Linked DNA regions of Oreochromis niloticus. The protein of the gene in region 2 interacts with the protein of the main gene of each other region in a pairwise test. Links are inferred from orthologs where the notes say so. Each region holds a gene or a part of one and is shown on either strand. Other genes may lie near its edges. The genes, in order: lin7a and mpp2b.

Region 1 (17,092 bases), on a different chromosome or scaffold from region 2:
ACATAAAACCAGTCAGTGTCCCCATGCTAGCCCCCAACCACTGCCGAAATCAAGAAGAAGGAGGACATGAGCATCAGAACTGGACTGGACAGAATTTCTTTTACATCATATGGATGGTTGGGTGCGTGTGCATTGTTTACCTGGTGAACACCTGGCAGCAGAATGCACTATGAAAAGAATGCAAGCCTACTGAGAGTCCATGCCTCCACATTTCTGTTTCGAAAGGGGGCTCCATACAAAAAGGAGGCAGGTGGTGATAATTTAATGCCAGATAGATATACATCCCACCAATTAATGCTTTCAAAGTGTTACCATATAGGGGTTCTCCTGGGAACTTCCCTGCTCTAAATACCTGATTCGAATAATCTCCTGGGTAGTGAATGTTGCAGCTGTCTGCTAACAGCACCCAGGATGATGCAATAACCAAAAATGTGGTTCTTTTTCTGGGGTCAACGCGATTCCATAGACTTTCCATCAACAGCAGGGCCGTTTGAAGTCCGTCACCCGTCTCAGCAAAACTACCAATCACAGAAGAAATAGGCGTTCCTCCAGGGATCGCTAACAACTTAATAACCAATCATAACAGAGCTGACGTTTCCCCTTCCCAAACCAACCAGTCACAACAGGATAACCCTCCAGGTCATCCAGTTGTTAATCCCCCCCCCAAATACAGTGATAAGTTACAGTAATCGGACAGTATTAAATTACAGTAATCGGACAGTCACGCACATAAAAAAAGTAAAATGACGAAGCTATGTGGGCTGGACGCAGAGAAAATAAACCACAATATCGTGGTTTCTGTGTGAGTTGTCCAAAAGTTATTCATTACTAAGCAAATAAAAACTTCATGGTAATGAGATTATTGAGGGCGTGTATCCACTCTATGGGATATTATCATACATGAGAGAACACGTTGATTTCACTCATGAGACAGGTGGCGGTCACGCACAGGTTGTTCACCACGTTTCATTCCAACTCGCCCACACAACATTTAACACCAGCTGTTGTGCAGATCACGTGTAGTTCACGCTGAAACTTACCAGTTTGGGAACACCGGATCCTCAACGTGTAGAGTTTTACTCCACGGCTCAAACCAGTTTATGTCGCGCCCCACGTCAGCCCAAAACTTCTCGGGGTTGTCCCTGGCCGCCGCGAAGACTCGGCCGTACGCAGCATCAGACGCATACTTTCTGCAGCACTTCGTGGGGAAGTGCGACTTAAAACTCCCAGATGCTTCACCTGCGTTTCGCTTTGCTGCTGCACAGAGAGTCCACGCAAACCTCCCGAGTGTCTTCTCCCGCAGGACAGGAGCGCCGTTATTCAGGCGCTGGACTGAGTGTTTTAGCCTGAGAAGCATTGTTGCTGGGGGCGTTTTTTTGAACTTCCACGCTGCTTTCCCGCGTCCCTCTTGTTTTTGTGTGCAGCTTTGGAGCCCGCTTCTACAGTTCAACGCTGAGCGACGTCATGCGGGCCCACTTAAAGGCAGAGAGGACTTCTGCAGAAATTCTTAACAATCGCCTCAGGGAAGGCTGTGAACTATGAACTGGATGTAGTTGCTGCAGGAGGAGTTTTGAAACGCAGTCAGCGTGATTACACAACACATAAGCTCCACCGCAGCTTTCTTAAACCAACTATTTTGGGTGGAAAATAATCCCAAGACATTTTTCTGACTTTAAGCAATAATTCTGCCGTGCAGTGCAAAGAAGAGAGGAACATTGTTGATAGTAACTCCTGTCCACCAGATTTACTTATTTATTTATTTACTTTTGTTTACTTCCAGCATCATTAAATTTTTAATTGTCCTCGAGGTAATATCAATACTCCTCCTTGAGTGGAAAAATGCAAATAGCCCCACATCTGCTAAAACTGATCATGGCGTGCATTCATTTGTTTGCTTGTGGGCATTTATGGGAATAATTACTCGTGTAGGGTCATTTAAAAACCTTAAAAATATTTGCATCTTAAATTAAGCCGATTTTCCAATACAATCACAGCACATGAGCAGCGGCAGCAGCTCTTTGTCCTCTCACATTGTGCCGCCTCATGCACTTCTTTCCCTATCACTGGTAAATACCCATAATACAGCTGACCCCTTGAAGAAGTTTGCCCCTCGTTAAGTACCTCATCCATCTGATATTTCAGATCACCTGTTTATGTTTATATGTGCTGAGCAGTGCTTGCGCTGTCCAGTACAGGTGTTGCAACGATAGTTTCGATATCGGCGCTGATATTGGTATCAGAACGATATCAGCATTATAGGATCGATACTTTCTTTAAATCCTATGTGTTTAGTGTGTAGTCCACTGATGTTTTACATTGATTATTTTTGGTAATGAAAAAAATATACCTCAAACGTGCGCTATGAAAAATATCTGGACCTTCTTGTGTTGACTGTGACTTCTGTTTTATTTATAGCCTCCTACAGCACATTTAAACACAGGGGGATCCTTTAGAGACAGGAACATTTACATTGCTGTTTACATCTCAAAAAAAAACCCATGGTATCAGATGGATACCAAAATTTGCACTGTGGCACAGCACTAGTTTCCAGCAGAGATGGCCAACTTGAGTTGGATTGCAGCTGCTGCCTCTATGACACTTGTTACCATTTGAGTAAAAGTGGGGGGAATAAAAAGTGAAATCTTTATCCCAGCTGACAAAAGATATCAGTAATCAGCAACTGATTGATGCCTTCTTACACCCATCACCCGCACGTCTTATCCTGCAGGTATTTCAGCGTAACAGAACTATAATTTTCTTTCTTTTTCAGTTTTAAATTAAGTATTGATTCAAATTTCATCATATTTCAACCATGCTTTCTCCTCTCATGCTATAATTTGTTTGGCCAAAAGGTCTCACTAAATCACAGTTCCCCCAAGGAACTGCCATACATATATATATATAAATATATATTAGAGTAGATGCTGTTGGCTGAATATGTATCATTCTCTCTGGCACCTTACGTGCATAGACCGCTATCTATTAACCGCTTTCACCGGCTAATCAGACCCTAAACTTTTCATGGCTTTTTATAAGCCCTCCGTCTTGATTTGATGTGATGAGTGTGAATGTTTCAAAGCAGAAATCAGCCGACTGCCCTTCAGAAACCGATGGAGAAATGATTCATCACTCTAGCCCGCAGTGTCTTAATGTAGTTTGAAAATCAAATTTGTTTGAAGATAATGATCGCTGTTTTACATTCTGAATGGGTTTTAGATGCAGTTGTCAGAAAGACTAACGAATGATTTCAGTCAATATCATTCATGGTTTTAAGTGAGTGATACTTCATAACGGTTTATTAGAGCTGAGTGAATTTACTTTCAGCGATTGCTTCATATACAAAATACTAGAGGCACCCAATCATTACAGGAAATAAATAAAGGTGAAAGCCATTTCCCCTTGTTAATTATGCTCTTAGTGCATTAATGTTAAAAGAGGAGATGAGATGAAGTTGGACTGAGGTATATTTAAAGGCTTTGACAAAGCTCAATATACATTGGGATGTATTCATGTTTTCAGTTTGCAGAAAGCATCAGGATGGAATTATGATGCCATCACTCAATCAGCCATTCCTGCTTGACAAAGTAAATGGGTGCTGTTTCCCTGAAGGGGGCGTCAGTAGTCTGTTAGAGCATGGGTGCCAAATTTGTTTCTGTCCATGGGCCACCTACAGTTCAGTTTGAACTCTCAAGTGCACAGAGCACTTTATTTTGAAAATAAAAAAAAGAGACAAAAAAAAATACAAAAACAAAACAATTCTGAAAACAGTTCTTTCCCCTTTAGTTTTAATGTAAAAATGTGCATTCTGGAAAAAAAAAAATCATTAAATGAACCGTCCAGAAAAACATCCTGAACATCCTCAGATGTCTTAAGAATAAATATATCTCAGTTTTCCCGCATCCATTCAGTCTGCTGTCAGCACAATGAAATGCTGCTGTCATAAATCAAATAACAGTGTCAGCACAGTTCCAGCTCTGTGACTTAACCACCTTACTTCAGTGTGATAAAGCAGGTCATGGCAAATGTCTTTGCCAGTAAGAAGACACTAACACTGCTGATCATTCAGACTTCTGGCTCGAATGAGTTAGTTTGCACAACCAATCGGATTGCATTGTCCATTCTAAACAACTCGCAGCACAGTGCTGACTGGTGCAAATTAAACTGAAATGTCCGTTCTTTCTCTTCTGTTTTCATCTTTCTGTCTCTGCAGAGCTGTCCACTGCAATGGCCTTTTTAATGTGCAGATTATAGCTGACACGCCATATGTTTCACACTCTGAATTAGAGGTTTAAATCCCATAGTGGTGATGCCGAAGTGGGTCACAATCAGTGTGACAGGCTTTGTTGAATATAGTATTTGAAGAAGGTAGGGTTCTCTGGCGTGCCTGCCTTCAGAAGGCCAATTACATTCACCAGCCACTTTATTGGTACACTTCGTGAGTATCTGGATTCTTTTTGCCTTCAGAACTGGCGTAATTCTCCATGGTATAGATTCAATATGAATAAACATTCATCAAAGATTTCGGTCCAGATAGCATGCCATCAGAAATTGTTTACACTATGATCATCAAGGGATGGAGATAGTCAGCAACAAAACTCAGGTAGGCTGTTATGTTAAAATGAAGCTCAGGTGGTACTAAGCAGCCCAAAGAGTGGCCAGAAAATATCCTCCACACCATCAGACACAACCAAGAGGCTGAGCTGTTGGAGGATGGATCCATGCTTTCTTGTTGCTTGCACCAAATTCTGATCCTACCATCTGAATGATGCAGCAGAAATCAAGGAAGGGGATCTAGGGGGAGAATCCCAGTAGATCAGCAGTTTCTGAAATACTCGGACCAACCAGTCTGGCACCAACAAGCGCGCCACATTTAAAGTAACTTTAAATCACCTTTCTTTCACCTTTCTTTCATGCTTAGTTTTAACTTTGTCTTAACCTTGTCTGCATGCCTAAATGCAATAAGTTGCTGCCATATGATTGGCTTATTAGATATTTGTGTTAATGAGCAGTTGAATAGATGTACCTAATAAAGTGGCCATTGAGTGTAAATGTCTCATAATTTGGGTCTTTTTTCTTAGCAGATATTAACAATAAAGAAGAAAGCTGAGGTTCCGTCATATGAACAACAGAACAGTAGATTAACAAACTCATGGTTATTTCCAAACAAGGGTGAGTTTTTGTACTCTACTCTTTTTCCCCCCCTGGTTATCCACACATCCAAAGTTTGGAACGCCCAAACTTTGAGACCCACTCACAAAAGTGCATCCTGACTTGCCTTAAAACAAAACTTTAAATGTGAGATTCATAGTTTACACAACAGCCTGGAGAAGCGGATGCACATCACCATCCTTCACTTGGTTGTTCATACACAGGAAATTAGTTGCATCAACTTGTCTCGTTAAAATATAAATACAATTTTAAAGAATTATCTGTCACATGTTTTTCAAGATGATGTTTTTTTCATTATCTGTCTGGCACCGCCTGATGGAGCAATATAAGCAACCGAGCTGCTGTGGAAAAGCAGCCTGTCATCTTAACACAAAATATCCAATAAATACTTTATTTTCGAGACGTTATCGCTCAACAGGAAATTTTCATCTTTTTTTTTCCCACTGTGGCATGCCGGATGGATCACAGTCAGTGCGGCACAAGGATTGGAATCGATGGTTGACAAATTTAATAATGGCCTGTTTTAATAAGCAGTTGTTACCTGGAAATGAAACCCATGTTATCATTTAGTGAAATACTTTACTTATTTCCCTACTGTTTTAGAAAAGCTTTTCTTCCTGTGTCAACATAACAAAATCTAACCTTTATGGATTTTATTAGCCTTTTATCAAAGCCATGTGAGTGATATTGATCTTTTTTATGAATGTGTTGCAGGAAAAGGAATAAGGTTCCAATTTTTCCCCAAATGTCCATATGACCTTACCTGTTGAATTCAATTTGAATGGGTACTGATGGGAATTGAAGATACAAATAGAACTTGCACACTGGCTAATGCTCTGAGCTTTGATCTGCTAGGCAAACAGTCCAGCCGTCTGTATTTGCCCTGTCCACATGGCCTCTTGCATCTCCTTCCGTGGAAGTGGAGGCATTTCAGAAATCAATTCACTTGCAGCTTTGTGGCTTAAAGACCAGTGCGGCATAATCCCAACCTCTTAAAAAAAGCAGACCTGTATTCCAGCCCATATAGATGGAAGCCTGTAATCTCGCTGTGCCCTCTTTCTGTGTGCTCTCTAAGCCCTCGCCCTCTCTATCCGTCCATGCAGCCTACCACTCACCACTATTTTGCATCTGCACACAGCTGGGTGGGACTGTTGGTGGACTGAATTCGCTTTTACTTATGGACTATGTATTTGAAGAAGCATGCAAGTTTAGAAACTGTTTAAATCAAATGCAGAGGAAGCGGTTAAACATTTAAAACATTAAACATTTTAAACATTTTATTACAATTTTTAGATATAGCAGCCAATTTGAAGTGAAGTGAGGTAAAGAGGTGTAGTATTTGCCTCCCAGCTGGGTGTAGACTAAAACATTTAGTGCAATGCATGACAAGATAAATAGGATTTAAGTAAAATGTCTGTGTTTATGAGCCTGGGTTTTGCTCTGAACAGCTGTGCACATGTTAGTATAAGTGCTAGTCCTTGCCTCAGGTGTGTATTGATGTTTACAACTTGCATTTGTCATGGCGAAGTCACGGTTCGTGAGCCATGTGACACGTCATGCTGCCTTAGCATCCCTCCAACCTGGGAATCTCTTCTTATTTCTGTTGAGCATGGCTTCTGTCAGCTGTAATGACTGCCCATGTATGAGACACGCCAAAGCAGCAGGCGCCATTAGGCAACAGATCTACAGTAAATGAAGAGAGCCAGCGGTTTGGCACCATTCTGTGGTAGCACATAAACATGAGGATTAATTCTTAAGCCCTTCAACGTAGGTTCACTACCGTCATTCGGTCCTTATCTGGCTGTATGCAGTGCATGTAGCCAGGAGAGAAGATAACAGGCAGTATAGCTCAGTGGTTCACAATGAGCCTTCATGGCAAGCTTGGTTGCAATCACCTGATCTCTGAAGTGCAAGGATTATAGCTGTGTAAGTGTTCATGTGTGCACAAAACACACATGTGTGCATCATTGTGAGATTCAGCATGCAATCCAGGTCCAGCTGGTTGACTGCAATATGGTGAAACTTTTCAAATACATTACTGTGACAGATGGAATACCAATTTTGACTGTTTTTCAACATATTATTAGCTTAATGACTAAGGTCCGCCATCCCTCTTCTTTTAAAAGGTATCTTATGTGTCCCATGAGAGCACTAGTCAGGCTACCTCTTGTTTTTATGAGCCTAAACTGAGTAACACTCCTGATGTCAGCATGCAGAGCTCTCTCGATATTCAGGAGTTTAAAGATCTATCTTTTTAATTTGGCTTTCAACTTGAAGTACTGAAGTGCTATATCTTTATGCTTAGTTGTTAAGGTTGTAATGTATGTTTTTAATGTCAGTTTTGCGTATAATTTCATTTATGGGCTTGCCATCAAAAGCACTTTGAGATGCCTGCTTTTATCAAAGACACTTAAGTTGAGTCGAGTCAAGTAGACGGCAGTGAATAGAAAATCATCTTGTAGTAACGGTGACTAGGTGTTACTTCAGATTCTAGTGTTGAATCATGGCAAAGGTAATGCCCTTCTATGTGGTGTTTGGTTATTCTCCTCACACCTCCGTGGCCTCCAACTGCTCCAGTTTGTCCAACAATCAAAACATGCTGGGTTAATTTTCTTGTAATTGTGCCCTTGACCAAGGCACAGGCTTGAAGCGTGGAGTTGATCCCATGAGCCCACTGCCTCAAATACTTAGGATGGGATAAATGCAAAGAATTGCTTTTCCTACAGGGAAATAAAGGGTCTCTCACTCTGTGAAGGCCATGAGAGGCTCCAGCCTCCCTGCAACCCTGAATAGGATAAGTGGAAGAAGATGGCTATGATAAACTGTAAAAAATAAACATGTTCAGTAATATGTGGACTTAAATCAATTCAAAGACGAGGTGTGCTCTGGCAATTTTACATTGTCAGTATTCACAAAGGCAGGTTCTTTAAGAAATGGCTCACCCTATTTGGTATGCAAGAAGACAGAGTCGTGCACAGAGTCCTGACTGTAACTCTGTCCAACACTTTTGTGGTGAACTGGACTGCCTGGAAGCAGGACCAGTGCTTTTCACAAAACCTTTTGTGATTACGTAAGAGTAGAACATTGCAGTTAAGTTCCCAAACGCTGCTGAAAACCCATCAAGAAAAGGGAACTCTGTTATCACAGCTGCGGCCTATATCCTGTTTTTTAAACAATACGTTCAACATTAAAACTTAGAATACAACATGACCCCATTCTCTGTTAAACTTACCACATTACTCTTTCTCCTGAAAAGCTGGACGTCTTTTATTTATTGATTTCATTCATTGAGATAAGCTTACATTAACTCAATTTTTCAAATTAAATGTAGCTTGCAAAACGAAACGAATCATATGATTGTCAGACTGCAGTGCTATATGATCAGACGTTTTGTCCCCCTGTTGGCCATTAGAAAAAGTGCAGAGTATGGCAAAGTTTTCACAAGTCCATATTTTATATACAGCACATGATTAATCCAAAGATTGTGTATTAAAGATAAATCTAGCCACTGTGACCTCTCAGAGCCCTGTTGTAAAGCACGAAGGTGCTTTGAAACCAGATGTGAGGAATCCCAAAAGGATGATTCTGTTCATCTGGACGTAGCGTTTTCATCCAGATGAACAGAATCAACCTTTTGGGATTTACTTACCTGGATGATTGAGCATGCATCAAGACAGATGTGAGAAATATGTGACACTAAGATACACTGCATCCTCATAGGCAAGTGATTTGTAAATCATTGTAAAACATACCCTGCTTTAGTCTACCTTTTTAATCTAAAGAAGTCCATAGTTATTCAATCGAACATTATGGTGTATTCAGTGAGGCCCCAAACTAGCATTTGCGACCATAAACTCATCGGGAAACAGTTTCCTGAGATCACAAGTTAAAGCCAAGGTACTGGTGCAACCATAAGAGTCTCCCCCTGCTGGCCATTAGAAAGAGTGCAGTTTTAAAGAGCTTCCAACACTTTTTTTGTAGACAATATATTTTTGATCTAATGTAAAGAATTTTAAAAAATTAGTGTATTTTTTGGTTTTTATATGTTATCAAATTAATTTTATCCAAATGATTTTTTAATTTTTTTTTAAAAAGCCAAAAAAAACCCCGTGAATACTATTTTTCATTAAGAGCGTAAAACAGCAGCGCATAAAGCGCAAAACAGCTGATAACAGCACCGGGTGACGGAGATGGATGGAGATAGTCTAATCCTCTCCCAGCCACTCCCAACCTCTCTCTCTCTCTCTCTCTCTCTCTCCCTGTGATGCTGCAGCTCCTGTAGGCTCTTCAGTCTCCAGTAAACAGCAGTCATGGCGACAGTGGTCCAACCGCTCACACTGGATCGAGGTAAGGCGATCGGAGCTTTGCATTCTGTGCATGTCACCGGAGAGATTATTTTCAGCCTTTTTTTCCCCCAAAAACTTGAGCGAGGATTTGGTTAGATTCTGATGTTTTCTGTTTTTTGGTGAGTGTTTGTCCAGCTCGGATTTCCTACACATCGTCTGCGCGAGTCGCTATTTCAAGGCAATATGAGCTCTGGCTTTTCTAAATAAAAGCCCGTCGGTTCCGTCCGTGTATTTTTCCAGACCGGAGCGCTCAGTTCTTTCGTCAAACTACCGAGGGGGTTTCTGCGAGCACGAACATCTGGAAATTAATACCCTTAAACCACTTACAAGGGGTCTCGTTTAATTTCATCTGTATTATGTAACCCCTTTGGCAACATTGTCCCGTTAAAGCTCGCTTTTTGATCTTCATCTGGCGGAGACAATAACGCTCAAATCCTAAAGCGCCTTGACACGAAAAATCTACTTTGTTAGACGGGAGATAACTTCTCAGGCTATCTGAACTGGACAGGTGCAAGACTGGCTGATTGGTTCCCTCATCAGGGTGTAGATGTTGTGTTTTGTACTTGTTGGAAGCGGTGTGCAAACAAACCGCAGTTGAGGGTTAATGTTGTCCTGTGATGATGTTGCCTAGCCTGTTTTGTTAAGAGCTGTTAGTAATTACAGACTTTGTAACTTAGACACACATTAGTCCCCTGATCTCATTCATAAGATACAATAATAATGCATGTAGGCTGATAAAATGTTCATTTTCCCACCTAAAGATGCTGTACAGATATTTAAAATACACTAAGGTCTCTCGTAATATAGTAATTCCTCTGGGAGATTTGAGGAAGTACAGAATGTCCTGTACACTTGAGAAGATGCCCTTTACATCTCAACACTTTTATGTTAAAGGAGTCGCATATTCAGACCAAATGCAGATCCGCTGGTGAAATGTAATATTGCACAAGCCTTGCATAGGGAATGGATACTGTCAAATATAGAGAAAGGAGAGAAAGGAGACACCTTAACGCTTTACTCTGTGCCAAGTAAAGCCAGCGTCAGCTCTCCTTCCAAGCCACACGAGGGACTTATATAAATACTCTTATTAATTATTCTGTAGGGATTAATCTGACTGATGTCACTCGTTATTGGTGATTTAAGTAATTAACCACATTAACATCTACTGCTAAAGAACACAATTTTTTTCCCTTCCATATGTTCAATTTGTTCTTCAATGAAATTTAATGTCTGAGGGCAGTGAAGCTTTACAGGTGCACAATCTGCTGGGAAGCTGCAGAAGTGCTGTACATGCAGAGTTAATGAAATGAGCCACAGATTGAATCCGGCAATGAGATAAACAATGCAACCTAAGCTTTTCCCACCCATGTCTCATAGTAGACTATAGATTTATTTTTTAAAAAAGAGGCTCTGCTAAGCTGATAAATAGATTTTTAAACAGCAAGGCAAGGAGCGATGTCCTGCAACTTGATAAATTGTCAACATTCAGCCATGTCTGATCTTAGTCATTTGCTTGGGCAGTGACTCAGCTGTGACCTTCGTGTGTACACACGGGGCCTGATCCATACCCACAAGCTGGAAAATGCAGCTGTAATGGCACAAACAGTAGTAATGATAGTTTCACGCAGGAGCTGTCAGAGGCAGGCAACATTATAGGCTTCCTGTCCTCGGATCCTGCCACTTTGGTGAAAACACTATAATTGCTAATGAAAAGGTGCACTCCTCTCGTTTCTGGGTGGAGGCTTTTGCTGCCGAGTTGCTGAGTTTGTCAAATGCACGCAGGGAGAAAAGGAACAGAGATGTTCATTTCCAGAGCTCCCACTTGGCTTGCGGGGTCACAGCAGGATGAAAAGATATTACATCATTGGCCTTCCTGTTATTGTCAAAGGAAATGACTGTGATAAGCAAGCACCGTCGAGAACAATGGATTTGAACCTCGCTGTATAATAAAAAAAGAAGCCTTTTATTCTCAGTAGATCTGGCATTTATGTAAGTGCAAACTGACACACCCCGGAGATGAAAACCTTTCTGTATGAAACAGTGAGAGCAGAGGGCACTGTGACTGAAACTTCCACAGATAAATTTAAACATCTATCAGGTACGGCTAGGTGGCAGGACCCAAATGCAGGACTCAGAGACAATGCTGTAGCTTGAATGCTTGAAGAAAAAACAAGGATACAAAAAACCAGAAACTCCCAGAAGCAGGAGAACAGGAAACAAGGACGTCAAAGATAGCATGAGTGGACGATGCGACAACGAGCAGAGGAAGACTGAGGACTAAAATGCACACAGGATAACGAGAGGATGGGCAACAGGTGGCAACACAGCTGGAACTAATGCAGACTAACAGGACAGGGGAAGCAAAACTGAACGCGCTGTACACTAGACACGAGACTGTCAAAATAAAACAGGAAGTATGATAAACACGGAGATGAAGACTAATCCACAGAGGCTTGACTCGGGGACCGGGGAGAAACAGACATGGGGAGATGACTGACTGAGGAGACAGAGAGGGAACATCAGACACAGAGACAAGAGAAAAACAAACATGAAGACGAGACTGACTAAACACATGAGAAGACTAGACACTGCGAAAAAAACTCAAACACCACACAGAACTAAAGGCTAACCGAAGCATACTTAAAACATGACGTAAATATAACTATGAACCTAAGAATCACATAGAATATTCAAAAAATAAACTGCATATTGTTCAGAAACTTAGTACCAGTACCATGACAACGCCGGCAACCTGCATGTTTCCAGTGAAATGCTTACTCGCTGATGGCAGGATAATGCTGGCCACGTTGTCCATTTCAGTTTGGTGTGTTACTTTGTGTTACTTGTTAACTGATTGTTTTTTTGTGAGTCATATTCATTATTTTATAATGGTCTGCCTGGTCCAGAATTCAGCTCAGAAAACATTGAACTAATAAAGCTCATTTGCTGAATTGTAGTCCTTCCATTTAATTGCATTAAAGTCCTTCACTTTATAAAAAATGTCTGGAATGTCCAGCCAGCAGGGGTGACCACGCTGTGTCTAAAACACTGCTTTTGTAGACATCTGTGAGAATACAGCCTCAGTAAACACTTTCCTGATGAATTTCTGGACTAAATTACTAATTTCAGGATGTATTGATTAAAACATGAAGTCAGTTTTGTACGATATTGTCGTTATTGAAGTCAGAGAGGAGGATTGTCCATACTCATCAGCAAATGACTTGTAATTTTAAGTTGCTAGCCAGTGAGTATAAAGTATTCTTAGTTTCACAGTCAGATCCTCTAATCACTCTTTACCTGTTGATTTGAAACACAAAGATGGTGACAGTGACAAAGGATCCATCATCAATCCATGATGTAATGGCAGCTACCGCTATCTTTCATTTACAGTCTTTAATTGAGCAAAAAGTTGATGGAGATTTTCATCAGTTTAACCAGTGAATGATGTGCAGTAGACACTTGGCATTATGTAGTTGGTGTTAACAATAGTGTGGAAGTCTCCCCTCAAAAGTCTCCACTGTTTGCAGTTTTCCGAGCTAACAAGTTAACCCTGAGCCTGTGGTAGGAAGATTAGATGTTTGTTCCTAGCTCTTCTGCACCACATGTTATGGGATGAAGACACTGATCAGTTCTTTATCCCCACCAGTCTGTTCATTTAGAAGCTGCAAAGCAATCTTTATTCGTCCCTCACTTTGCTGCCATTGTTCATTTTAACCCCAAACGAGTTGGTGATTACGCCTGGGCTTCACGCGCATTTCCACAAACCCAATTGTTGGATATTGCACTGACCATAGCTAGAAGGAAGATTTTAACTCTTTCCACTCACCTTAATACCCATGCTGTATCTGTTTTAGTTAGTACAATTTCTCCATTCAGCCAAATACAAAAACATAGATGCAAAGTTGTTGAATTTAGCTGCTTGTTACATAGGTTTACGGTGGCCATGGATTAGAAGGTAGAGTTAGAGAAGGTCATCATCAGAAGGTTAGTGGTTCATTCCATGGGTGCTCCTGCCAAAGTATCCTTGGGCAACAATCTGAATTCTGAGTCACTCCCAGTGTGAAAGTTAGATAAGACTAGATAGACTAGATTACAAAAGTTGGATAAGATAAGTTAGATAAAAAGTGCTTAGACAGAGAAAAAAGTGTTTGTGTGAATGGGCAAATGACACATGTTACACAAAGCGTTCTGATTGGTCAAGCAGAGTAGAAAAAGCACTATATAGGAACTAGTCCATTTGCCATTTACAGGTTGAAACTGTGTTAGGGGCGAAAGCATTGGTTTATCATTGTTAGAAGATTGCAGTTATGTTCCTTGTACCTACAGCTGTACAGCATGTACAAGAAAGTAGTTTCTCAGCAGTGCATTTCTTCCTGTGAGGTCGTGATCAGTTCAAATGTCAACAGTAGAAAGAACCCGTTCCTTCCCAAAGTATGAATCATTTTGTTTTTCTTCACTGTGTTGCAGGGACCTTTGGAATAGAACAATTTTTATACAGTTTATGTCTTCTTGTCTTAGCACAGTGAAATGAATAACTGCGAGATCTGAGGGACCGTGGTGAGTTCATCCATTTGAGGCTAGAACATATTTCCATCACATCCACTCAGTCACACCGCTGTTTTTAAGGGATTAAGGAGGTGCTGACAAGCTGACGTCACTTGTAGCTGTCTATATTTTAAATGGCCTCCTGTTAATGCAGAAATAAAGGTTCTCTCAGTAATTGTCTTGGAGGGACATTGCCCAGTAATTACCCAGGATGAAGACGACAATAAGACTGTGATGTTTTCTGGCTCTGTTTTCGCCACAGGCTCCTGCAGGAGCCATTACCCTTCTAGGAGTGATTTATTTCTTGTGCTATAAGGGAATCGCTGCAGTTGGACAAATTAAAGCTTATTCTCTTGGCATGGGGAAAGAACTTGGTTGTCCCATTTTTCTGTATTCAGACTGTGATTTCTTTTGTTTTTATCACTGCCTTTAGCAGCAGAGTTGCCAAGGGCACCCAGGTCAAAGTGGCAGCGGCAGATGGCAAGGACTTTTCAGGACAACTTACTCCCAGATGCATGACATCTGGATAGCATTTCTCAGGGTACAAAGGTGGGATTCCCGTCAGAGAAAGGTCATTAGAGACTTTTTCTGCCTGTCACCCTCTGAGATGGAAAGCAGCATTTCATTTAGAGTTAGTATTTGAAAAGAGGATCTCAGGTTTAAATCTCAACGTTGCGGTTTAATAAGCGCAGACAGACGCGGACGTGTTTATTTACATTGTTGCAGTTTTGTCAAACTGACACTTCTAAGTACTAAAAATGGATTAGGTTAAGTTTTGTACACTGCTATAAATGACTAATTATGTCAGGAAATGGGAACGGAGCCCAGTGCAAAACATCCCCTCAACAGTGTTGTGGAGCTTTGTGGAGCATTGAAGCCTTTATTACGTGTTACTGTGGCTTTGTTCAGCTCTGTGCCTTTTCTCTAATCAACAAATGATGAGGATGACCTTTTTTAGTCACAGCCTGATGTTTTCAGGGTATAATGCCACACAGACAGTGGCAGCTATAATCATTTTATACCGCAATATTTGTTTTAGATATTTTTTCACATTGTAAAATTTAAAATGAGAAATATTAAACTATTGTTCTAGGTATGAAAAGTTTATTGGACCAAAAGTGATTACATCATGTGTTCTGTTCAATATATAAGTTGTTGGTTTGTCTACAAGCTGCATTCATCTCCAATTAATACTCCAGATACTTGCTGATTGGTGACAGCATATTGATAAAATATTTCAAGAACTTCAGTCATCCAAAATAACTAGAGCTAGCAGAATTTACCACAAAGTAAGACACAGTATTTGTCAGAGAATTAAATCATTCAAATGCTCCAAAAGATGCTAACAACACAGACATGGTTAAGAGGTCCAATGTACACCTCTAGAAATAGCAATGTAAACAAGCAAGCTAGTAGTTAGCTTGCTAACTATTAGCTAATTGCTAGCAAGCTAATAGTTCGCTCTAGTTGTTTTCTAATATTAGGCTGTTAGCTTATATAACCTCAATTCTCAAAAGTTAGGGCTTTATGGAATATAAATAAAGACAGAATGTCATAGAGGGAAAGATTAGCGATAGAAACCAAAACTGTTCTTTGTACCAGGCGCCTCTAAATGTGTTTATTTCTGTTTAAAGTTGGGCATTGTAACAGGGAGTCTGTGGAGATTGACTCACTTATAGAGTTAGCCTAAAGTGGAAGTTAGAGGAACTGCAGTTTTGGTACTTAGAATTTTTTTTCTTGTTTTCATCTTTGTAGTTTGGCACTTATATCACAATCTATCAACAAATCCTCAGCTGGGATCTCTTATAATGCTGTAGTCAGTTTCTTCCACTGATTATGTCCCTATTCAGCAGTTTTCCTTATTCTCCTTGTCTATTTAATTTTAATTAGTTAGAAAGTCAAGAAAGATGAAGCTGAAAGAAAGAGTAATAGTTAAAGTTGGTGAGTTTACATGCCTAGGGTTAAATTCTCAAAGCAATGCATGGTTCACAAGAGCGGTGAAGAAGAGAGTGGAGGCAGGGTGGAGTGGGTGGGGACGAGTGTCAGGGGTAATTTGTGATAGAAGGATAGCACAAAGATTGAAAGGGAAGGTTTACAAGATGGTAGTGAGACCTGCTATGATGTGTGGTTTAAAGATGGTGGCACTATCATAAAGACAGGAGGCGGAGCTGGAGGTGGCAGAGTCAAAGACGTTAAGATTATTATTGGGGTTGGTGGGACGGGCAGGATTAAAAATGCATCAGAGGGACAGCTCAGGTTGAGCAGATTGGAGGGAAAGTAAGAGAGGCAATGCTAAGATAGTGTGGACATGTAAAGAGGAGGGATAGTGGATATACTGGATGTTGAAGATGGAGCTGCCGGGCAGGAGGAAAAGAGAAAGACCACAGAGGAGAAGAAGATGCTCAGGTGGAGGTAGATCATCTGCTGTGGTGACCCCTAAAGGGAGCAGCCTGAATAAGAAGAAAGAAAATCAAGAAAGAACAGCTAGATATGGCCAAGACTTTGTATTTGACCCTGTGCAGTAAAAAATTAGTCATTTTCAGGTAGAACTGTTTGGCCAGGCTCACAATTATATTCAACTTGGTGTAACTCGGTCATATTTCCGAAAATCAAGTTCAGCTACAATCAAGTTATCCAGTTATTTAACAAATAAATGTTTCCTTGGTTCTTTTATATTATTAAAAATGTTTTTCTTTCAAATATGATTAAAAGCAGACCAAAACTGAACATCATCACCAGTGACCCAGAGCCGATAGGAAATTTCAATGTAAAGTTCAGATTTCAATTATCTCCCAGTCTCTTTGTGAATGCAGCCGGCACACTTTGCTCAAAGTTTTCTGGTCACATTCATGTAGGATCTCGCAGTGAGATGTGAAAAGGAATACTACGTGAATCTCTCTGGATAGTGAAAAAGCCTTTGCCTGGGTATTTTAAGTCTGTTTGAAGCGCTAGACTCCCTTGAACTGATGATATCAGAGCATAAAAGCACAGGAAAGACTCGGTAATAAAATCTGTCTTGTGCAGATGAAAAT
Region 2 (16,708 bases):
TTTTGTCCGTTCTGGGAGCCTTTACAGGTGAGAACTCAGGCGAAAGTTATTTTTCGCTTCGGTGAATCCAAATTGCCTCTACCACACACTGTAACTTGATACCATTACAGAGCTTTCATTTAGCAGGTGAGGGCTTAAAAGCACAAAGGGGGACTCAGGTGTGCCGACAGACTTAACCAGCTACAAGCACATTATGCCCTCTACTCAACCTACTCTTCCAGGAAAAAAAAGTTTCACACTTGAGCAGATTTTCTCTTTGGAGCATTTCACTATTTTACATTTGCTGGATTTATGGGTAAACTCCCGAAGAAGCAGAATATCATGGGAAAACCTGAACATTTCAAGGAAGTTAAAACGGAGTGATGTCCGATTTTTAATATAGTTTTAGATGAAAACCCAATCTACAGTAGTTGGCAGCCAAAAATTTGAAAATTATAACGTGCTGTGGTGGCTCCCTGCGTCCGCCTCTCAACAAAGATTACCAAGATAACCGCTTGCCTGCCTTTGGTACAGCAAGGGACGTGTAATTAAAGGAAACTAAATTAAAGGTGCTTTTGTCTGTTAAAGTCTCATCCAGGCGCCTGCTCACCTCCAAGGAGAGTTACAATTAAACCCAATGTCACGGACGCAGCCAAACAATCTGGGCTGTTATTGTTTGCGTTTGGAGCACAGCAGGGTGCAAGGACCTCTCAGTGAAGGTTATTCTGTTGCTATGGAGCAGCAGTTAGGGAAAAAGGGAGAGGATACACAGAGGAACTACGGGAGGGTGGAAAAAAAAAAGGAAGGAAAATATGTGGGAGATGCAGATGTGTTGTTGTTTCTCTATGTGGAATCCTCACGGGGTATTACAGTACTCACAGAGGAGTACAGTGTGCAGCTGACTCTTTACTCCCAGTTGTTTCTAGCTGTAAAAACAGTCTGGTCTGCTTAATACGCCTGAGATACACAATGTGTTTTAGAATGCAGAGCCAGATGAATAAAAGTCAGTTAAAGGAGCACTTTTGGCAACAGGTAATGAGCAAGCAAGTGGGTTACTTTTTTCTAACAAATAGTATAATTAACCCTGTGATGTCTGTCCACAGACAGCCCTGTGTCTTTTTATAAGACTGATCACCTCTTTGACCCCTAACAGCCAAGAAAAGAAAACAAGCAACAATATTTTTAATAGAATAGAGTTAAGGGTAATGACTAAGACCTCACAGGGTTAATTGTACTTCAAAATATGGGCTTTTTTCATTTCAAATGTGGATTGAAATTCAGTACAGCTTTTTAAAAGGACACTGAAAGTCCGTATTGGCAAATGCATGGCAGTGACAAATCAGGGCACTTGCACTGGATGAGGTAAATGTTTAGGTTCTCAGTTTGCACAGCCAGTAACAACACCTGCTTTGTCCCGTGAAACACAGACAGATTCCTGAAGAAGCTCATTGATATTCTCATTGTCTCCTGGAAGAGCTGCTAGAAGTCGCTGCAAGTTGCTGGAAGTCACCTCTATAAAAAAGAAAATACTATTTGGCCTTGAAAGACATTATTAAATACTTTTATGTTGCTTTTAGATTTGATTCGGTTCCCGGCTCTCCAGCTAAATATAATTACTATCAATCCCTCAGGTAGCAAAAGATAAATGTTTAAGACACTGGTGGAGAATGATATTGAATTGGAATATATTCCAATGCGGTGTGTACGTGCTAGAACTGATGAATCGTTAAGGCCAAAGCATTCGATGAATTTATCCCAGTGCAATGGGATTCATGAATATTTCCAACATGACACAGTGTTGCAGCTTGAAGCCCTCTGAGTGCAATCAGTCTGATGAGATTCCTTCAGGAACAACAACACAGAGCGTACAAAATACAACTAAAGCAAACAGAACGAGCGCACGGTTGGGGCACGCGCACTCAACTCTGGATTATTAAGTCAACATCCTCCTCGTGGAGTGTCACTGAAAAAGAAAACAGGCTCGTAATGATGAGGTGTAATAATGTCGTCTGGAGCATGTGTGGGCACAACAGTTGTGTAATTTACTTGCATGGTCAATCAGCATGTGTGCGTTTGTTTGTGTGCTACTTGTAGAGACTTGCCTATAAATAATTAGATCTCCTCCTTAAAAACATAATAATAATTCCACTGCATTAATATGGCTGCACACATAATACACAGTTCTAAGTTTTGGACTTAAACGTCATGATGTGAAATTAAGGTACTGGGAAAATAATCAGCACCCACAGGTGTTGTCACTTCCTGCTGATAAGGCCTCTGCTCAGGATGAGATTAAGTGAAGCAGCTGAATTACATGAAGGAATTACATGAAGCATTAAATGCTTTATATAAATAATGCTGCAGGGACCGTGTGCCTGTGTGTGGGTTTTTGTGTTTTTTAACAAGTGTCAGAAATTCCAACTTGTGATTCTGACTCTGGTTTTTGCCTGACAGAGTGGTTTAAAACATGATGCAAGCGCAGCACGCGTATGGTTAATATCTACTTTCCCCAGATTAAAAGGGCAGCGAGTCAGATACAGTGCGTGCATGGCCACAAAACCTGGTCATGGAGTAGAGATGAAGTGATGCACAACAAAAAAAGGAGTGCCCTACAGAAACATAGCTGGATAAAAATATAAGTGGATTGTTTCATCAATCCCCAATAAGAGCCTGATAAGTAGATTTTTGTAAGCTTCTCCATTCTGGTCACTTTTGGCAAAAAACTTTAACATCTACAGCTATCCCACCTCTACCTCAGCTTCCTGTTTATTTAGTGCCACTGTCTCCAAATCAAACATCATAGCAGGTCTCACTACCAACTTCCCTTCACTCTTGCTGGTATCCTTGTATCACAAATCACCCCTGACAGTCGTCTCCACCCACTCCACCCTGCCTGCAGTCTCTTCTTCGCCTCTCTTACGCACTGTCCGTTGCTTTGGATGGTTGCCCTCAACTATTTAAACTCATCCTCCACCTTTATTACCTCTACTCTTTTCTCCCATGCATCCCTCCACCTCTTCCTTACCCCTTCTACCTGTTTTCTACTTCCACTACAGATCACAATGTTGTCTGCAACCATCACTGAGACTCCTGCCTGACCTCATCGCTAAAAAATCTTAACTGTAATAGCTCCTATGAAAAAAACGAAGCAGAAATATCAGTGAAATATCTCTGTAAAATAACCCCTAAATGGTGTTCATTTTTTCAAGGCAACATATTATAATGCATTGTTATCAGCTGGATAATGGCTGTATATTATCCTTGCTTGACTTTAAAAAATTCTAAGTGGTCTAACAGCTATAACAGTGTAGGTGAATGTCCTATAAAAGGCAACACTTCAAGTGGAAGTAATCATGACCTTCTCTCTCCAGGTCCCAGATAGCCAATCAGCAGGACGAGGGACTTTTAAGCAGCCTCCCTATCACCATGGTGATGCTTGCTACAAGCTGGCATGCTATGGATGCAGGTCAGATCGCCTTATTAGCTGTATGAAGGTCACCAGTGGAGACAACACTTGTGATATTTGTTGACATTTTGCAATTGGACAGCAGCCCCTCCCCCTCACCCCCCACAGAAAGTGTCAACGAAAAGATGATTTTGTGTTACGTTCTCACTGTAACTAACGCTAATAACTTTATCAATGTAGCTCGCTGTACGCAGGCAAGCAGTTTGAGTCAAACCGTACATCTGTTTTCTTTGGCAACAGTTAATGAAAGAGCAAACCGAGATCATCTGAGTGTGATACGGATGAAATAATTGCCAGTGTCACCACATTATCGAATACTCTCCGCCAGAACCGTATTAAATTGTCCCTTTCTGTTGAAACCCGGCGATTATCTTTGACAGTGTAATCCTACCAACACACTGTACTCAATGATCCATCATCTGTGTTTGAACACTGCTTCATTAGTCCGGTAGGCACACAGAATATTCCTCCGATAGCGTGAGAGTTTGTGTACTGTCCCGCAGATGTGTGGAGTGTGTGTGTGTGTGTGTAGAAAGGGTGGAAGTGAAAGAGCTGGAGAGTTATCTGAAGGTTGTGAGTGTGACACTTCCAAGCGTGCTGTCTCTGATCAGAACACCGCTGCATATGAATGACCCCCCCCCACCCACTTACTCACCATGAATGTACAATGCACTGGAGGTCTCTCTCTTTATCCTCCTTTTCTGTGTCTCATTCACTGTGCACTGATAGACAGGATGCAAATGCATTGACTGAAAATATGATTCATTACGGCTGTCACCGCTGTCGTGTCAAGATACACACTGAAAAGCGGAGGATATCTTGCAAGACAGTATACTGTGTGACACAAATTAGACTTGGCAATGATGTAATGATGCTGCTAATTTAACATGACAGCATCAAATACTTGTTTCAGTTCTTATCCCCCTCACCTGATATCCACTGTTTAGCCAAGACAGGCAGCCCATGCATGGACCACAGGGACCCACGTGAATAGATACCACATTACTATGTGGTATACAACTTTATCCAGTATTAATGAATTCCATGTATTATAAATGGGTTGTGTGGTACTTGTCACTCAGTGCTATGCTAACAAACATTGTCTGGCCACTATCATCCAGTACAACAAATTAGCTTTTACACTGAGTTTTTTTCTTTTTCTTTTTTTTTTATTGTGGCTTATCTAAATTGGTCTCTCTCAGTTTAATGCTCCTCCTTTCACAATCTCTGTAAATTAAATTAAAAGAAAAAAACGGACTCTGTGTTGAAATGATGTATTCTAGTGCAGCTGGTACCGGGCCTCGGACCGGTACCAGTCCGTGAGTCGTTTGGTACCGGGCCGCGAGAGTTGAGGCTCAGGTGTGAAATGTATGGTTTTCAGGGTTTTTATCGGTTTTCAGCGTTATTTTGTTAGCGTTTTTATCGTTAACTCGGTTTTCCTGGGTCTTTTCACGTGTGTTATGAATAAATCTTCTTTTTTTCGGTACCGGCACTAGTTTTATTTTGTTGTATTTATCCGCGACACCTTATTGCCGGTCCGTGAAAATATTGTCGGGCATAAACCGGTCCGTGGCGCAAAAAAGGTTCTAGTGAATACATGTCTTTGCATTCTGCTGCCTGGGATTCGTCTACATCGCATGCTGCCCTGGGTCCCATTCTGTCTCTGCTCATCGTCATCACAATCTGGAGACATGAAGCAGCACATCAGGAGCAGGTGCAGTATGAATTCAAACACCAACTGGTCCTCAACCACCAACATTATAACACTGAATTGGTTGCTGATTACAGCTTGCGTCTAGCAGGTCTTGCCTAACTAGTAACAGCACACACACCTGAACTGCTATAAACAATCCCTATATTGCTTCGCAGCAGGCAAGTTCCTGTGTTCTTACCTTCTCCCTCCAGCTTGATATCCAGGCCCTCTAGGGAGTTGGCTGAGTCCCCCTCCTCCAGGGAGAGCCTTCCAAACAGGCTGCCAGCCATGGTGAACAACACCTCACTACAGGACACACACACACTCTCAGTAACACACCCAATACTGTATCAGAGGCAGTCTGAGAGATCTTCCTCTCCCTCTCTCTCCTTATCGCTCCCTGATTCCCTCCTCTTTCCGCCAAAATGACTCCTCGCTAAAGGCACCTCGCCACTCTTCCCCTCCCTCCCTCTCCACCTGCTCTTGACGTGAATGTGTATAAGCTATGCCTGGCCGAGCGTCTTCTCCTCAGCATGAATGAACGGAGACGAGGGAGGGCTGGGTGCATGTGGAAAGAAAGAAGGTGGGGGGACGTGAGAGGAGAAAGAGAGGAGCGAAGTGTGATGCTTTCCTTAAGAGGAGGGTAAAGAGGAGCCAGGAAAATTGCCTGTCTAGGTTTCCCCATGGGGGTCAAGTGGGGGGAGAGAGTAGCAGAGGGTTGGCTTTAAGAAGGAGGTGTGGTCAAAGAAGTGGCGCTTGGGGAGCGCACTTGTGTATTTTGTTACAGCTTGCCATTACTATTATCAGAGGAACAATCACAGACTTGACTTTTTTAAATATAATACAAGTGAAATGATCTATTTGGGAAATTTATATCTGAGCTACTTCACTGACATAAATGTAAAAATAGCAAAGTTTCAAATAATAACTGACCCTTCTTTAACCCTTCTCCAAGTCTGAACAAAATATATCCCTGCTGGAAATGCTGCTTTTTAAATGTAAAAAAAGACATGAATTGGTTTAGAGAAACAATCGACTGCGTGTTACTAAAAATGCCACTCATCCGAGTCTCGGCCCTCGGCTAGTGCACAAATCAAGACTGACTGACAGCCTATTACACAAAAGACTCAACGCACATTCTTGGTATAAAATGCTTCTCTCTCTTTCTCTCTCCCTCTCCTTTTCTGGCAGCTGACTGCTGGAATTTACTATCATATATAACAAAATACTTTGAGGCTGCGGATTTGAGATTTGGCCCCGTGTTAAAAAACACACTGGAGTGACTTTCCCAGACATGCGGGCCGGATGTAAAAATTATGTGTACGCACAAAAAAACACTTTTTCCCAAACATATATCAGTATTTATAAAGGAAGATGTGCATGTGTAAATGTGCAGGCATACCCACATTACTCCAAACAACACAATGAAGCCTTTTATTAGTTTTTTTTAAATTTACAAATAAAATTAAAAACCTCACCACAACTAATTTTGAGTACTAACTTTATTCTTAACATTTTTTTAAATTATTGATCATTTCTAATGAGCAGTGGTTGTGTATAATGGTCTGCTTCCCTTGTGTGAACTCCTATCACTTTATATATATATATAAAACGATAACGATATGTATTGCGAAATAACTTTTTCTCGATAGAAAAATTAAACTATTGCGATAGACCTCATCTCTCTTGTCCTCTTAAAAAAAAAAAAAAAGAACAGCCAATCCAAATTAAGTAGCGCAGAGCCGAACCAATCACAGCCGCAGCGTCACGTCACGTGACTTGTTACGTACAGCACAAGCGCCAAGGCGCACATGTGTATTTGTTTTTGCAGCCGTGCAGCCCGGGTAATGAAGGAAATGAGTTTGCCGACTAGACAAAAATCAACCGAGAGCGTGAGCGAAGGTTACCGAAGAAAAAACGATGATGGTTCCAATGCCGGAGAGCTTGTCGAACCGAAGGGCCACAGAAGTTCCGTAGTGTGAAGGTATTTCGGCTATTTCACGTCTGACAAAAAACAGAGTAGCGCGCACTGTAAATTGTGCCGAAAGCAAGTCTGGAAATACAATAAAGCGGTGCATGCTCAATCTCTGACTGAAAGCGCTAATTCGTCATTCGGCTTTTGTCAGACTAAAGTCACTGTTAAAACTGTTTGAAAAGCTAAGCTATACAACAAGGAGAGATTAAGAATTAACTTTTAGTTCTCAGTTTATTTGATATTGACAAAAGTTAGTCAATTTTGTCTGTTCTTCTGTAAAACGACCTAAGATTTATTTTTAGAATTAATATTTTGTTTCTAAGTGGAATTGACAATTTAGTCTGTTTTGTTTGTTCTATTTTGAAACTTAAACGCTTTAGCGGCTGCCTTTTGTGTAGTTTGCAATATTTGCCTTTATCTGAAACTGAAGTCTCATGTTCCTTAAGTACATCTACCCTGTTGAACTTATTATGGGAAATAAATATTTTAATTAAAACAAGCTGCTGATTATTTCACATTTTACTTGTGAGCAATGGCACATTTAAATCTTACAAATATAGTTATTTGGCTTATATCGTGATATATATCGTTATCGCCTGAAATGAAAAAAACATATCGTGATATGAAAAAATCTTATATCGCCCAGCTCTAGACAAAAGGAAGCTACAATTCACAAGGGCAACATTTGGATGGTAGGGTTCAAATTTGATGTAAACAACATAAAAGCATGAATCCATCCTACTTTGTATCAATGATTCCGGCTGGTCCAGCTGGTGTAATAGTGTGGAGGACATTTTTGCAGCACATTCTGAGCCACTTAGTACCAGTTGAGCATTGGTTTTAGGCCACACCCTACCTGACTATTGTTGCTGACCATGTCCATCCCTTTATGACAACATTGTACCCATCTTCTGATGGCCACTTCCAGAAGGATCATGCACTACTTTACTATGCTCAAATCAAACACTTTTGGGATGTGGTTTGATGGTAGCTGACAAATCGTATAAGCCAAAGTCTCTGAGAACTGTGTCCAACACCGTGTTGACTCTATGCCATGAAGAATTAAGGCAGTTCTGAAGGCAAAAGGGGGTCTAACCCAGTACAAGAAAGGTGTATCTGATGGATAATGTCACCACAATCCATAATTATGGTAAAATTCAATCTCAAAATTCTGAAAACGCCATGATATTTCCTTGTCCATGGTAACATAGGTACCATAGTCAGTGTGTGTGTCAAGGTGGCAATTCTTCCAGAGCTGAAGAGGGCAACATATGGCTTAAAGTGTTCTAGTCTAAGCCTACAATCTGAACACGAGGAAGGAAGCCCACAAGCACAGGAAAAACCACATGTTGAAAATGGCAACTAGTGCAGCTGCGGTAGCTCTGCTTTGACAAGCCACGATGATTGCTGCGCAAAAGACAATACGAAAATCATGCTGTGGTCTTTCTCCTATCAAAGGAGGAAATATTCTTAATTTAGCAAAGCAAGCATCCAGATCTGTTCACAAAACTCAAGCTCAGCAACTTTCACAGTAACAATAGCTAAAGTGTTATCCTTGAGTTCTACTGAAATATGCATTTCATTTCCTGCAGCTGGCACTCCTATTGTGAGTCAACTTTTCTTCAGGCAAAAATGTTAGCAATGGCTAACATTGTGTACTAATACTAACATAATGTAACTGTAACACTAGTAGCTTAGTCTGCAACCATCCTCAGATTTCATCTGTCAGCCAAGTATAATGTTAACATTTTAAATAAATGATCTGCCACCCTGTCATGTTTTAAAACAACCTTTTAATAAAAGATTTTAAAATGGTCAACCCATGTACTTAAACATTATGTGTTATCAAATTGGATAGTGAGAATCATGTGGTTATACGGGTATTGGTTCCAACTAATAAATTTCTGATATCGTGACATTCCTAGTAACTAATGAAGTGTCCAATGAATGTACACTTTATTGCATTGTAGCAGGCACTGACTGACTACAGATCTACAGAGTTCAAAAAAGCTGAACAGAAAAAAGCTAACTGCCAAAGTAAGCAAGACCCTTACACGACACTTGGAGGTTAATCTCTTCCACGTCCTGCTATTTCAGTGACAATCTTTAATAAAAGAGTCACTTTATGTTTCAAATGTGTGTTCATCTGAAAACTTGCAGTTATGTATACACCGATGTATACTATTCAGCTATCAGGCATTTGGCAAATCCTTTAAAGCATGACTGATCTAGGACCGGCGTTTTACCGCTCGGTTAGCCAGCTCATTAAGTCACATTACCACTCTGGAGATGAGATACAAGTACTGACTGAAAGAATAACCACTAACCACTGTCTCCCTCTCAATATCTCACTCACTCACTCACTCACACGCACGCACGCACACACACTCGTGCAATCATCACAGCGAGACCGAGACACTTACCCGAGTCAGAGCTGGATGTGGCCACGGGCATTTTAGAAATTGGTTCTTCTGAGTATCCTCCACAAGACTTGTTAGGTCAACTGCAATAAAAAAGAGAGTGCAAAACGAGAAGGTAGATGCATTAAAAAACTAAAACCTTTATCTATCCCACTGCTGGGTTAGAATTAGGAATGAAATAAGCGACGGAGGGTAAAGTTGTGTTGTTAGGTTGAAGCTCAACACTGAGTGATCAGGAGAAGACTTAGTGTACAAATCCCTTTCTGGCACAAGCGCAGTCAATGGACTAAACATTCACACTAACAAGCTCCCACACAGGGTAATTGGTATTTAACTTTATTAAGATCTAAAAACAGAACAGCTAGTTGCCCTGGTAACATCTAAACAATTTTAGCCATTGTATCCGTTGGGAATACCATTAGCAACAGTTGGAAAGACTTTGTGAGTGGGTTCAGCAAGGCCAGTTATCACTAGCTTAGTGAGGATCTCTGCTGACTCTAATTGATCCATTTATCGTCATGAAAACGTAACAAGCGTCGCAGGCAGAAGACTGCAGGATTAACGATCTATTGTTCTGGGATCTAAAATTGGTTCCTCAAGTCATGGAGAATTTATGAGAATGCAAACAGTGAAAAGTAAATAAACGACATGGCGAATGAGGGGGAACATAAACTGAGCAGAACAATGAAGGGGAATCATGTCTGTAGAGAAACTGAAAATATAAGAGGAGGAGAAAAAGCAGGAAGTAACTGAAACGTATGCAAGGGAGTTAAAGAGAGAGGGAACAATGGTGAGGAAGAAGAGAGCGTTGCTGATAGGAGACAGGCAGCACTATCCAAGGATGCTAATTCCTGGTTGTCATGACAATAGCTATCCTTAGTGGAATAAATGCTGTAGTGGTCAAAAGTGAGCAATGTCACCACAGGGTCACCGTGTGTAAATGTCTGTGTCTGGCAACATAAAAATCCCACGTTAGCCTTATTGTCACATGGCTGATTTGGAGGGATGACGCTTCTTATCAATCCAGCACTTGAAGAGCTATACACCAAAGGGGAGAAATGGCACAAAAAATGCTACATTATGAATGTTTTCTGTCAGGGTTACAAAAAAATAAAAATAAATCCAAGCAGCAGCTTCCAGGAAGTGGAAAAAAAATCCAGTTCCTCAACTGGCCAATGAAGGCTGGTTTTACAAGTCAGTCTTCCCCCCACAGACTCCCATATATGTTATACATAACGGACAAAAAAAAACTATTTCTGTCTCTGTAACTACTTTACACTTCATCACAACTGTACTTCAATGGGGGTTTATGATAGGCTTCACCCAAACTAACTCAAATGACCAAACTGGACCTCTCAACTGTGTTTGGGGTTTGGAGCCTTTTGGATCTCTGCACTAACAGTCAGTCTGAGAAGTCTGCAGTCTCTATTTTATTGTAATCAGTATCTGAATCTTTGAGATGTATCCATAAGGTCAATGGAGCACTCCAATATGCCATCTAAATCTAATCAGTTCTGGTACCAAAGACCCAAGACAGTGTGGCCATAATGCTGATGCTGAGGTAGTAATGTCACAGTGGCTACGTCTACCTTTTTGTGTGTGTGCATAAATAAATACCAGAATAATACCAGATCAGTCTACTAAAATCAGACCCATACTCTAAGAGAAGTTGCGATTCCTGTCAACTATGGATGGACGAACAGACGGATGTTGGATGCCTCACTCATTTGTCCTTCAGCTGGATGAGCTAAAAACTTCTGTCTTTCTATCTTTTACCACTACTGAGCAAACGATATTTTTTAACTCCCCTTTAGGTTGAAATTTCCAATAACAAAGCTACTCAGAGCAGTTTTTTGTAGCCTATCAGTTGTCAGTGAACACAAACATAAAGATGTCTTTAAGCCCAGCGGTATCTAATCTTACTCATTTCATTCTCTGCACTGAGATCAAAATATTCCCAAATCATATTTGCTCAGATATAGTCTGCAGTTTTGTGCCTCAGCATTTTATCAACATATCCCAGGGCACCGATTGAAGATTCAGCTTATTAACTATTAATGTGACCCCACTGTGCTTTTTGGCCTACTTCGATGGCATACGCTGTAATAAAAACTATGATCTACCAAAATAAAGGGATCTTGGGATTACTGTGTTACCATCACACCTACCTCTTCCATCTGAATAAGTGTCAGAGTGATTTGTTTGGATATACTAATGATACCAAAGTGCTGTATATCATTATGCTTTTATTAGTTCGACTGGTTCCACTGGGCCGCGTGTTTTGATTCTGTCTGTGGTCTTTGGCCATTTATGCTTGCCTTATGTAACGAATCTACTTCTCTTTGCCCCCAGACATGCCATATCATATCACATCTGGAATAATAAAACCCAACTGAATGTAACTGGCCTTTAGAGAAAGGCTTTTGCATTTTTGATTTGCATTTCTGTGCGTGTTAATTTCAAGTGTATGCAACTTTATTATTTTTTTGCAGTTAGTAATTGTTCCTGGGTGCATTTTAACTTAATTCTAACATGCAATGATACCGGAAGTGTCCAAAACTGTATATTTGAAAGTAATTTACATAATAATGAAGCACAGATGGAAAATATTCTCATTAGATTGCTTGATTGCACGGGCAAAGGCCTCGTCTCATTCCTCTTTGTGGATTGATTATAACTGGAGGGCAGTATTTGATCTGAGGAGCAGTACACAAGGGCTGGATGTAAAAGAGATGGGCCATTGAAAAAAAGGATCTTCAATAATCGTCATAGAGTACAAAAAATAATTTTTTGGTATGACATGAGTTTTATCTGAATATACCAATTTGTTTAATAGTCTGCTCAATTACTTAGCAAGGACAATTTTGTGGTTTAATATGAAAAGAAGACAAAAAAGCTGCCTTATTCTGAAACACTCAGCCTTTTGTAATATTAATAGGGTAAATTTATTGAGAGTGAATGATGGTGTGGTCATAATTAAGTTTCAAATATTTTCAAATTAACCACTGAAAGACGTAGCTTGACAGTCTATTTCAAATCTGGCATTATTCCTCCCTTTTATAGTTTTTAGATCGCTTAATAACCCTTCTTCAAGTAGTATCACAAGTTTAAACCTACAAATCAATCTCATCACAAAGTTATTATATTTTGTATTTATAGGATTAAGCTATTTTTATTGCATCAGTGAGAAACAAATCTATTCTTTTGCTCACTAAAAGGACTGTTCTCTGGATTTGTGATTCATATGAATATTGTTGATGACAGTATTAAGGAAGAAGCTCCAATGTATCATTACTATTCTGTGATTGGATGATTTCCTAGCTGCAGATTTAGCACACAGCTGAAACTCCATCTAATAACAAGAGTTGATTGAGAGATATCTTGTACAGAGCCTTCATGAGTGACGTCACAAATAAATTGTTCAAGAGTTCTCCGCCATATTAGATACCATCAACGATTGCTGCACTGATGTGTATTTCCTGACTGGTTACCGAGTGATCCTGGTTTAAAGGTCCTCAAACTGTTCCTGAAACATTTTTGCTTTGTGGCAGATTGCATTATCTTGCTGAAAGAGGCCACAGCCATCAGGGAATGCCATTTCTATCAAAGGGCGTACATGGTCTACAACAACGCTTCGGCAGATGGTACGTGTCAACGTAACATCCACATGGACCCAAGCTTTCCATTGACCAAAACATCAGACTTCCTCCACCAGCTTGCCTTATTCCCATAGTGCATCTTGGTGTCAGGTGTTTCCTACGTGAGTCACACACACACACACACACACACACACAACTGGCCATCCCCAAGTGATGCTCACGTGCCAATTGTTTGTGCTTTCAGTGGTGGGCAGGGGTCAGCATGGGCACCCTGACTGGTCTGTAACTATGTAGCCTCAAACTACTGCAGACCAGAAACACCCCACAAGAGCTGCAGTTTTGCAGCTGTTTTGGAGATGGTCTGACCCAGTCGCCTAGCCATCACAATATGGCCCTTTTCAAACTTGTTAAATTCGTTACAGTTTTCCTGTTTCTAACACATCAACTTTGAGGACAAAATGTTCACTTCCTAACATGCCCACCTGCTAAAAGTTTCCATGATAAAGAGATAATCAGTGTCATTAACTTCACTTGTCTGTGGTCAGAATGTTATGCTTAATCTGTGTTACCTCTTTATCAGACTGTTCAGACCATATACATTCCAACCAGCTCTGGTTAGACTTCTCCTCCTTCCCTCTTTTGTCTTGCCATCACAAAAAAATAATAACTTTAAGATCTGCCCTACTTAGACCTGCAAGTAGTGATGCTAAAGAAGCAAGAGGAAGGTGGATCCCCTCACACATCATACCGCTTAAACCCCGAGGAACACAATTGAAAAGAATCATTTTGAAAAGTGAAAAAATATTAAAAATATATTAATTCAGTACTAAACAAGTATAATGCCTGATAATTGTCCAAATAATAACTGATATAACTCAAATCCACAAATTCCCTTCACTATAACTGTTAACATTGTTTAACCTTAAATTAAATACTAGCTTATTTCTTCTCTGGATAATTCATTCATTTCCACCTCTTTAGAAGTTTTGAATTTTTTATTTTTACTTAGTTTTCTGCTGAGTTCTGCTGTCAATTAGGTTTAAATACACCCCCTTTACAATGTCAAACACATGTTAGAAATCTCAATATTTTCAGCTACTGGGGCGCCAATATTCACACAACCGAAAGTTAACATCACTACCAGACGTTTTACACTCCATTTGTTCAGACGGCTGCTAGAGACAGCAAAATTAGAAATCTTTGGTGGTGGACTGTCCTTTCTAATAGCATTTGACTAAAAAGCCTGTGTCCACTAATTCATTTTTAAATTGAAATATGGTTGAGAGTCCCTCTCTGTTATCCACTAAAATGTGACATTTGGGTCTGAGATATTAATTATCCAGCCTGTGTATCCTGTTTCATTTACTGGGATTTGTAATTGTTCATTTTTTTCCCCTGAATCTTTTATTTAGATGGTTAAATTTCACTTTTTTTTCACATTTATTTTTAAATTTTTGTGATTTTTTTAAACTTTGCACTTCTGATGGGAACACCTACAGGCCGTGTTTCTAAAAGTGTAACAGTAAAACACATTCTTAGATGCTAAAGAACTCGTGGCTTTTGCAAAACTCTGATCCGAGTGGATCAGGTCCTTAATACCACATACCAGCCCCCCAAGCTTATCCGAGGCATCCCATGTTGCACTGAGAAATGACGGCGCTTGTTAAAAGTATGCAAAGACCACACAGCAGCTAAGAAGTCAAAGCCGACTGCAGCAGAGCTTGGCCGTGCAAGATACCGACACACCAGGAGGGTTGGAAGGACAGGGTGCCGAGAAGAGAGTCGAATCTTTTGAGCTTTTTACTCCGCTACTCTGCCTTTTGTAATATTAATACGGTAAATTAGTTGAGAGTCAATGATGGTGCGGTCATAACCAGCCGAGGCATTTTCTTGGTAATTGGTGCCATTTTCAGAGGGAATAGCCTGTTACATGTAACCAGTAATCAAGCTCTACAATCAAGGATAAAATAGGTATTTCTCAAAAATAACATTAAGGGTGAAGTTGTTCAAAATTACCATTTTTCACTAACTGCCTTTCTACTACAGACTACAAGAGACCCTGCATGCAGCTTGTGGGTCAGTGTGTCTCCACTGTATCGCAGCATCTAAACTATCTCTGCTCTCTGAGTGGTTTTTCCTTCTGGGTCCACATTAGTCAGCTCACACACACACACACACACGCTCATGCAGATCTCCATCTTGCTCACTGTATTGCAGGAAGAGAGCAGCTGTCATGACATCACATTTGCCGGCCTGCTATCATCTCTACATCAACTGTCAGTTCACCAAAACAAGAAGCAGGTTTGGTTCTTGTGGTCGACGTAGATAGAAAATTATATTTGTTTTAATATAGCTTACTCAACATTTCCAGTGGAACAACATTATTCTGGAGATTGCTGCAACACAGAATAAAGAGGGCAAAGGTCAGTTAAAAATATCCCTAAAGTTGAAGGGAATTCTTAATTCTGCATTCAGGGAATTCTTTGTTGCACAGACTGTAAGCCTACACTTGTGTGAACCCCATGCACTGTGATAAATTTATTATTAACTCCATTTCCTTTAAGGTAGTGCTTGCAGATATATGGCATACAACTGCAAAGAAAGCCTGTGTCCAATTTTTCTGAAATTGCACGCTCCAGGACACTTTGGCCTGGAGCAATGACACAAGCAGCGGCTCAGGTGTTTGTACGCCAAGTGTAAAACGCCTTGAGGTGTTCTCACAGTGAGGCTGCATTAAAGCCTGCACACATGCTCGCACATACAGATACACATGCGAGCACACAAGCACCAGCAACCAAACAAGTCTTAATCCACACATGCAGGCTGGCGTCACGCCTAAAAATAACCCTGTGCTCCCACAGGTTCAGCTCCTCTCATTACTTTACAAGGGAAAACTGTCGTATCCAAGACAACCGTGAGCAGCTCTTTTTCTGTTCCCCGGCGCTTTGCCATGGCAACAAGGGAAAATGCGTAAAATAATAATAAGTTGGAGCTAAAATTGGGTCTATTACAGTGTTTGAGCTACACTTCAACTCAGCTTTGCTCTTTGTCTGTGGAAAGGATTTCAGATTAGCTTTATATTTCAAAAGCATTCACACAACAGCCTGGAAATACATTTTGACAGATCTCACCAGCCAAAATTAAGCTTGTAAAAGACACATGACACCAAAACAAACCACAAATAAATCTATGGGAGAATTACATAAAACCCATTACTACAAAGAGCCAGCCAAACAAAGAAACCTACTGTTTGAGACAATCATGTTGTTGCACTCACACATGCATGCAGCTGGGCTTCACAACAGTCAGTTGTTTGGTGACAGAGATATCTATGTTTCTTGTTCCTGTTGTAAAGATGCAGGTTAGTGGATTCGAATGAGAAATGCACCGATCAACTGGACAGGGACTGGATTGGTCAGTTTTCCTAGACAGGCGGGCAGCCAGTCGGCCTCCTATAATTACAATTAAAAGTCTATTTCGTGTCTATACAACACGCCCGCATGCAGCACACGGAAATCACTGCATGCATACTCACACCCACACGCTAAAATGTCACTAGCATGATAGAGCCTCACC

The links.
Region 1: the proteins of mpp2b (region 2) and lin7a interact in binary tests that used the Homo sapiens proteins (3 or more experiments, as listed by UniProt). The two-hybrid records come from large-scale screens. The link is inferred for Oreochromis niloticus from reciprocal best matches to the Homo sapiens genes MPP2 and LIN7A.

Annotation. Positions count from the first base shown.
Region 1 is NC_031981.2:15,753,926-15,771,017, forward strand, and holds the start of lin7a (protein lin-7 homolog A), read left to right. Parts: upstream 1-9,378; 5' UTR 9,379-9,479; coding exon 9,480-9,516; intron 9,517-17,092. Other genes in the region: acss3 (acyl-CoA synthetase short-chain family member 3, mitochondrial), read right to left, coding at 1,041-1,357. UniProt on the Homo sapiens protein: Plays a role in establishing and maintaining the asymmetric distribution of channels and receptors at the plasma membrane of polarized cells.
Region 2 is NC_031973.2:19,989,055-20,005,762, reverse strand, and holds the start of mpp2b (MAGUK p55 subfamily member 2b), read right to left. Parts: upstream 9,617-16,708; 5' UTR 9,568-9,616; coding exon of another isoform or gene 9,537-9,567; intron 5,445-9,536; 5' UTR 5,429-5,444; coding exon 5,338-5,428; intron 1-5,337. UniProt on the Homo sapiens protein: Postsynaptic MAGUK scaffold protein that links CADM1 cell adhesion molecules to core components of the postsynaptic density. In CA1 pyramidal neurons, required for synaptic KCNN2-containing channel function and long-term potentiation expression.